Linked DNA regions of Rattus norvegicus. The protein of the gene in region 2 binds, or shares a complex with, the protein of the main gene of each other region. Links are inferred from orthologs where the notes say so. Each region holds a gene or a part of one and is shown on either strand. Other genes may lie near its edges. The genes, in order: Exosc1 and Exosc7.

Region 1 (4,428 bases), on a different chromosome or scaffold from region 2:
TATGTAGCCCCACCTTTATTGGCACTCTAAACCAGGTCGGCCTTGAACTCACAGAGATATGCCTGCCTCTTGCCGTGTCTGTCTTCCCTCCAGCCGTCTTTGGGACAGAGGGTTACCTTGCAGCCTAGCTCCCCTTTGAGATTCCCCGCCTCCCAAGCACCATTGGAGGAGCGTGCACCTATGCCCTGCCAGCAAAAATTTCTGTGATGACAGAAATGTGATTTCCTGGGGCTGGACAGATGGCTCAGCAGCTAAGCGCACCGGCTGCTCTTCTAGAGGACCTGGATTCCATTCCTAGCACCCATATGGTGGCCTATAATTATCTGTGCCTCTAGTCCCAGGGGGTGCGACACACCTTTCTAGGCTTTGTGGTAGCAGGCACGCATATGATACAGACAAGATAACTATTCACATGAGGTAAAACAAAACCAATCATTTCCTAGAACTGAAGACGTACTTCTGGGGAGTCCATCACTTTCCCACACCCCCCAAACTAAAGTCATATGTCAACCAGTATGGCAGCCACTAACCACAATTTGCTACCGAGTACTTAAAATGTGAATAGTGTTGGGATTGTGGGGTGCAGGATCTCACTCTGTAGCCTATTCTGGTCTTGGACTACTGTTCAATAATTCTAAACAGCATCCAAATACCGAGACCACAGATATTTTATATTTTAGCCTGGCTAAAAATAAATTTTTCATTCTTTTCTTTCTTTTTGAGACAGGGTTTCTCTATGAAGCCCTGGGTGTCCTGGAACTCTCTGCATAGACCAGGCTGTCCTCAAGTATTCACCTGCCTATGCCTCCTGAGTACTGGGATTAAAGGCTGAGTCAACACATCCATCCCTGAGATTGACCTTCTAGCAGTAATAAACTTAAAACACCCTTCTCTAGCTAGGGACTACTGTATTAAGCAGCGGACCACGGCAGTTGTAGGATCTCGGCCTAATCATGACTAGGACCGGCTTACCTTACAGGTGACGACAGCTCCCACATCTGGAAGTAACTGGGACTCTGTCTCTCTCATTACTGATACCACGGGAAGCTGTGGAGAGAATACGAAGGTTAGTGTACTGGCTAAGTAAGCCCTGGGTAAAGAGAACTGAAGGCTGAGGATAATACAGGGGTATCTTACAACAGCCGAGGTCACAAGGGCAGGCAGCCTGTAGATTCATTTATAGCCCATAGCAGAGGACATTAGTCATTTTAGGAAATAAAGAGGATCAGAGGCCATTAGAACTAGGCTGCCAGGTTTAATGTGATCATTCTGATTAGTTGTAAATGACTGAAGACTCTCTTGGGATTTCCTGGTACAAATCCTATTGCTTATAATTATGAATATCCTGACTCTTTCTTCAAGCTATAACTTTTTTTTTTTTTACTTCAGGATTTGCAATTAAATGCTATAGAATGGCAACTCTTGTTTTACTCCAATGGCAACTGGTGTATTATCTTACCTCTCTTGCTCTGTGCTGTTTCCTTACCTTACTAAGTCCCTCCCATTTCACGTTGTCTGTCTAATCCATTCTTTCCACACTCCTCCACCTCTCCTTATCTTCAGGTGCCGAAATATTATTGTCACTATCTAGAATTCATGCAGCCCGTTACATGTTCTCACTGTTCCGCACACTTCTTTTGAAGATATGTTTGTGCATTTGCTCATGGTTTGTGTCTGTCTCCCTGGTAACAAAAGCTAAGTGTATTGGGCTCAGGACTCTATCCCCAGTAGCAACTAAGGGCACCACTGGGCAGGACATCTATGTAGTGAGTAGACTGACAGGCTGAGTTTTATCTCCAAAACCAATAGACTGGAGCCCATTTTTTTTACAAATAAGTACAACACAAAGTGGGAAGTTTGGGTTTTGCCAGTCTCTAAAGAGGGTGTGTTTTTCCCCAGGTCCCAAGCTAGGCAAACGCTGTGCTGATGAGCCACAAGCCCAGCCTGAGGAGGTTTAATTCTTAGTTTTTATAGTCTTACAAATGTCAACCACTGCTTTATCTGAGTCAGTTAGAAGCTGGGAATACACTCGTGTATCACCATGCATGGCTACACTTAAACTTCTACTTGGGCAAGAATCTAGTTATCATGAGTAACATATTTAAATAAGTGCTCCAGGGAAGGTTCTTGGGCACAACAATCCTACTGCCACTAAAACCCCCATTTTCTCAGTCAGCAGGTCCAGAAGGGCTTCTCTGGGAAAGCCATACATACAAACAAAAAACAAAAGGGATTGAGCAGAAGTGTGTTCCAGACAGACAAGTACATGCATTGCATAGGCTTCGAAACAGAGTTTAGTTCACTAAGACACTGAAAATCTCCAGCATTACTACATTGATGTCAGTGAAGTGGGACACAAGAGCCACAAGAAAGCGGAGGTAGTCGAGATGCATGACGGGAAGAAGCTCTCGGCTGGCCGGGCTATTCTCAAATTTGCGTGCTTTTCCCCTCCACCTCCTTCTGTGAGTGTCTCTACACAACTAAGCCAGCCCAACCTAAATGGTGTGCAGCAGGTGTGTTTTAGCACAGCGCTGGGATCAGAGCTGGGAGAAGCTGGGAGACCAAAGCTCTGAGACACCAAAGACAGGTCCTCCCGGTAGTGCCTGTGCCCAAGGACCAGAACTCGATGGCAGCCTGAGAGGTGACGCTCGTTGGCTAGCCGCTTTCTTTACCGCGCCATTCTCGCTGGTCTTCGTCAGGCAGCCAGCCAGCGACGAAAAGATGTAGCCGTGCCGGGTGTAGGTGCCGCTGCCCGGGCTGCCTTCCTCCAAGTTACACAGACGTTCGCCTGCAGAAGACATGTGCCTCAGCTACGAGCTCCCAGAAACTGGCTGCCCGCAGCCAGGGTCTGCCTGCGGAGACCGCTCACTTACCCGGGATGCAGTACCTCACAGGTGGTGCCATGCTTGCCACCGTCCACAACCCGGATGAGAACCAAGACGACTTCTTATTGGTCAACTAGAGGAGCGGCCTCGCAGTTACGCGTGCACCAATTGGCGCTTTCGACCGCGCAAGGCGTAAGAGCGAAGCCTGACTCCATTTCCCAGGCTGCCCCGGGACAGAGTTCTGGGCGTGACTTTGCGGGCTCTGAGACTCGCGCCTGCGCAGCTGGGTGGTGATGGGCTGTCCGCGGGTCTCGGTCCGCTGGCTGGCGCTGCGGGCTCAGGGCCATGGTGGGTTAGCCTTAGCTCGGCCCGGCCTGGGTCCCGAGCTGGAAGGGGAGGCAGTGAGTGGCTGACAGGGAGACTTGGCCTAATCTAGCTGATTGAGAAGCTGGCAGGAGGCAGGTAAGAGTGAAGGCGCGGTTCTTGTCCCCATCCGAGTCTCGGGTGTCCAGGCCCTTAAGTTCAAGTTCCTGGACTCTCTGCGCCCTGCCCTGCGTGGCTGTCCCAACTCATCCTCAGTCCCAACTCGCCCATTTCACGAGTTTGGAGACTCAGATCCAGAGACAAGGTTTGGTTTGTACAAAGTGTCGTAGATAGTTCGAGACAGACTAAGCTTAAGCCTTTTTTCTTTTTCTTTTTTTTTTTTTGACCTGAGCCTATCATAATTGGACCCTGCTGCACCTGGAGACACAACCTTTTTTTTTTTTTTTTTTTTTTTTTTTTTTTTTAAGCTTTGTAAAACGACAGTTTCTTCTCTTGCAGGCAGATACTCTAGAGCGTGAGCTCCTTAACTATGAATGGGCAGCTTGACGTTAACATACCATTCCTTTTGCATTCTTCCATTTTAGCATGTTAGCCGGGAAAGACAACTTCATTAATAGAATATTATGCTTTCTTGACATCAGCTTGATATGGCAAAGGTCACGGGAGCAGCAGCTGTGTCCAGATGAAATTTGCCGTGACTTGATCTCAGTTTCATCTCTTGGCTCTGGAATTTATTCCTATCTCCCCTTCCCTCCCTGTCAGTCAGGCTTCTTTGAGATACAGATGGTGATTTAGGGGAGTGCTGTTGCCTGCTAATCTCTACTCTGGTGGCAGATGGCCACTGTACTCTGTGGATTCTACTGAGAGGTGGCAGGACTTGGGGTTTGGAGGAACTATGCTGGCTTATCCCTCCTCTGTTCATTCAGGTCATCCATGACTTCTCACCACATTTAGATTTAAAGACTTTGTTTTTTTTCTCTGTTTCCCAAGGTAAAACCTTTTCACTTGTGGTCCATTTATTACATCTTTTTCTAGTCTCCTCCTTCTCCTCATATCCCACTAGGCTGGGGGGGGGGGGTCCTGGACCCATTCTTTGTTCACTGGAGTTTGATCAGCAACTATATGCTTTCCACTTTACAGGTTTGATTTCCAGTTTGAGGTGTCCTCTAAGTTATTGTTCTTTAGTGCTGTGATTCTAATAATGGTTCTGTTTCTTTGTTTACCAGAAAGAATGAGTGCAGCAAATCCTTTGGTGTGATCACTTTGGTAGGAGTGTCTC
Region 2 (3,812 bases):
CACACAAAAACCAAAACCAACCAAAACAAGCAAAACTAGGCACAGTGATTATGCCTTTAATTCCAGTACTTCAAAGGCAGAGGCAGTAGATCTCTGTGAGTTCAAGGCCAGCCTGGTCTACATAGTGAGTTCCACAACAGCCAGAGCTACACAGTGAGACTCTGTCTCAAAGAACAAATAAAACCAATTAATCAACCAGACAAAATATAAACAAATAAATTAGAATAAAGATCAGAAGGTGGGCTGCCCTCCTTGACTAGGTGAGCCATGAAGAGAGCCACATGTTCCCTAACTGTAGCGCTGCTCGTCCATGGCTGCGGTTACACAGGCACACATGCAAGGCCCCACTGCCCTGCTGAAGTGATTAGATTCTCACAAGCTGCTGGGGCAATACCTAAGCAGTGGCTGACTTAATTCTGCCCCAGATGGTTGCCAACTGCACTGCAAGCCTCACTCTAGCCTTGGCTATCAGATGATTGACAGGATATTGCTATGGAGCCAGGGACACTTCTGGTATGTGATTAACAAGGCACACACCCACTGCTCGGACCTTACCAGTATATACTGTGCATTAACTATAAAAGCCCAAGTTCATCACTGGTAGACTCTCACTGACAAGGTCAAAGCGTACATCACTTGGAAGTAGTAAATCTACCCTCCCAAGAAACCTTTACCTGAGGTTCTGGGGGAAAGGCAACAGCCTGACTCCTCAGGGAGATGGAGAAGTTACATTGTAGAGAGAATCTTTACATACTGTACAGAGGCATCATTTTTCAATAAAAAAAGCTATAGCCAATGACCTGAGACAGACAGGTGGGATATTTGGCAGAGGGGAGACAGACAGACAGACAGACAGACAGACAGACAGACAGAGAGAGGGAGAGAGAGAGAGAGGGAGAGAGAGAGAGAGAGAGAGAGAGAGAGAGAGAGAGAGAGAGAGAGATCAGGATATCAGTCTGGGAAATAGACATGGGCTATCAGCCCTAGACTCAGAAGATGATGGTTGCATGAAAGTGAGGACCAGGTAACCGGGCAGGTTTTACGACCTAGAATAGAATGCACAGGTAATTAAGCTATAAGCTAGCCAGGGAACAAGCCAAGATTTTGGCCTAGGCATTTATTCATGAAATATTAAGGCTCAGAGTGGTTATTTCTGGGAACAGAGTGCATGGGTGTTACAAATGGCTTTAACTACACGTTGAGAAGAAGAATCTCTCTTTCTGGTTTTGATGGGCATACCATGTTTATGCATTTATGCATCCATCATTCCTCCTGAGAAAGACCTTAACAACACCCAGCTACATAGGAGTGCTGACCATATACTTAAGACCCAAATGAAAACTCTGGAATTAAAAATTAGATCCTTTTCTCAGGTTTTCGAGAAAAACACTGCATACACATTCCCAAGGGTCTGCTTTTACACACAGGCCTGGGTGAGCTCTAGGAGGCTCCACTGAAGGTGAACTTAGTTCTTCCTAACAATGCAGAACAGCAGCCTCTAATCCCCAGAAAGGCCTTGTTATTTACCACTTTCTTGCCGTAATCTTCTGTCTATATGGAGTCTAAAAATACCCAGCAGCAGTGATTCAGGTAATTATCTACGTCTTAATCAGAAACACAGGAAACAGTGTCCTCGAATCCTATTGTATGTGCCAGCTTCCCTTGGAAAAATCCTCCTTTTTTAGGTGAGGCCTAGAGCCCAGATCCTCCCTCCTAGAGGAGGCCAAGTGCAGACACTGGCCTGACATTGGCTGACTTCTTTACTTCTGTAGGTCTCTGTTCCCCACTGATCAGAAATGAGTAGTTCCTTCTTTCTCTAGGTCTCTAGTGTGTACTCAGAGAAGGTTTAGAAGGCTTAGGGAAAAAAATCAGTGAAAAGAGCTTGTTCCATACAAAATGCCAACCTGCCAAACTCAAACACTACATCTGTTTGGTGCTACCCAGAGGGTCCTTGTTTTTTTTTTTTTTTAAAGATTTATTTTATTTATTATATATAAGTACACTGTAGCTGTCTCCAGATACACCAGAAGGTGGCATCAGATCTCTTTACAGATGGTTGTGAGCCACCATGTGGTTGCTAGGAATTGAACTCATGACCTCTGGAAGAGCAGTTAGGTGCTCTTAACCGCTGAGCCATCTCTCCAGCCCGAGGGTTCTTGTTTTTAATTCCCTGATAACTCCAATGGGTAATTTTAGGTTCAACTCTGCCGTGATCACAGTTTTAGTATAGAACAGTGTTACATGGACTACTTACTAATGCTGTGTATTTGTCTTGTGAATACAAGTATTACAGGAGACCATCTCCTCCCAAATAATCTAACCATGGACACAAAACACTTTTTCATGAGGAGGAAGGGTAGAGGGAGGAAAGAGACCAATAGATCTTCAACAAGTGTGAAGTGACAGGGACAGTGCAAAGTGACTCACCAGCACGTCCACATACAGCACCCAGCAGTGCTCCCGAGGACTGATGCAGAGGGACCTCAGGTCGACGCTGCTCTTGTTGTTAAATATCCGGTAGAGGGTATTTGCAATCTCTGTGCCGAGGTCATCACCTCCTCGCCCTTCGAATTCTGGGGTAGCATTGGCTGAACTACACAAGATGGCAACAGAAAAAGTGAGTGAGTCCCTATCAGTACAAAGACCTTGTTCTCTGTGGAATGCTGGCGAGCTAGTATCAGGAATGTCACCAAGGCCAAAAGGCAGAGAGCTGTCCTAGCTCGCATGAGGCAAAAGAGGCAAAGAGCGAAATGAGACATGGATGGCACTGGATGGCCTTGCATCCTACAGGCGTACGCAATGGTTGAGACCAGCACTGTGCCCTGCACCCGTCAGTGGACATGATAGGCCTTCAAGCAGCAGAGGAAGAACAGATCGGTGGCAATGCAAACCTCAGCTGGTATAATGAACTCTTCAGGGTGAAATGAACACTTTTCTCTGGCTGGCCTGCAAAGTCAGAGTCAGTGTCATACCCTCGAGAATGATTTGGGGGGTGGAGAATATATGATAAAATCTATATGATAGAACAGACTCCAGAAACGAGGTTATCACTGTACTGAGAGAAGGAAATGAATAGAAACACGACAATATGCTGGCCTGTTAAGTATTCATATTTGCAGTCACTTAAAAGTGAGAGAAAAATTCTTTTTTGGACTCTTGTTACTTATGCCCAGTTACCTTCACAAGAATTAACAAGAGTTCATACCAGCTACTCTAATATGACTCAAAAGGCTTTACAGGACTATTCTGAGAATTCTGTACTGACTCAAAACAGCCTATTAAGTCTTGAGGTAAGTGCACATCACTCATCCATGTAGTCAGGACAGGTGAGGGCCAGCATCAGCTCAGACTCTAAAGTCATGTTTCCTGGCTCCTGAAAACCTGGAAGGTATCAGCTGGAGACGGGGAAAGTTGGATGGGGTGGTGGGGGTATATGTGGGTGTATATGGTATATATGTGGGTGTATATGTCTTATTCCTGAAGGGTAAAGAAGCCACAAACTTCAGAGAAGCAGGAATCAATGCAGGAAGAGAGAGGCTCCAAGGAAAACATGCACTGCTGTGTAGAGTGAGAGACCTCTCTTACAAGCCATACTTCAGTCTTGAGGCTTCCTAGCTCTGCAGGCCAGCCAGAGAAAAGTGTTCATTTTATTCTGAAGAGTTCATTACACCAGCTGGGCCCACATATCTATTTAAGGAATAGGAGGTGAAAGGAATCTTACTTTGTGGTATAATCTAAGAATAAATCACAGGGCAGCATTTATTGTATAATTTTGATTCTCTAATTACCTACTCTTTCCTTACACCATTAGC

The links.
Region 1: Exosc7 (region 2) and Exosc1 share a complex: the UniProt entries of both Homo sapiens proteins name them as parts of the RNA exosome core complex. The link is inferred for Rattus norvegicus from reciprocal best matches to the Homo sapiens genes EXOSC7 and EXOSC1.

Annotation. Positions count from the first base shown.
Region 1 is NC_086019.1:250,691,836-250,696,263, forward strand, and holds the start of Exosc1 (exosome complex component CSL4), read right to left. Parts: upstream 2,914-4,428; 5' UTR 2,905-2,913; coding exon 2,874-2,904; intron 2,789-2,873; coding exon 2,673-2,788; intron 2,651-2,672; exon of another isoform or gene 2,496-2,650; intron 2,453-2,495; exon of another isoform or gene 1,487-2,452; intron 1,048-1,486; coding exon 973-1,047; intron 1-972. UniProt on the Homo sapiens protein: Non-catalytic component of the RNA exosome complex which has 3'->5' exoribonuclease activity and participates in a multitude of cellular RNA processing and degradation events.
Region 2 is NC_086026.1:131,664,404-131,668,215, reverse strand, and holds part of Exosc7 (exosome complex component RRP42), read right to left. Parts: intron 2,594-3,812; coding exon 2,428-2,593; intron 1-2,427. UniProt on the Homo sapiens protein: Non-catalytic component of the RNA exosome complex which has 3'->5' exoribonuclease activity and participates in a multitude of cellular RNA processing and degradation events.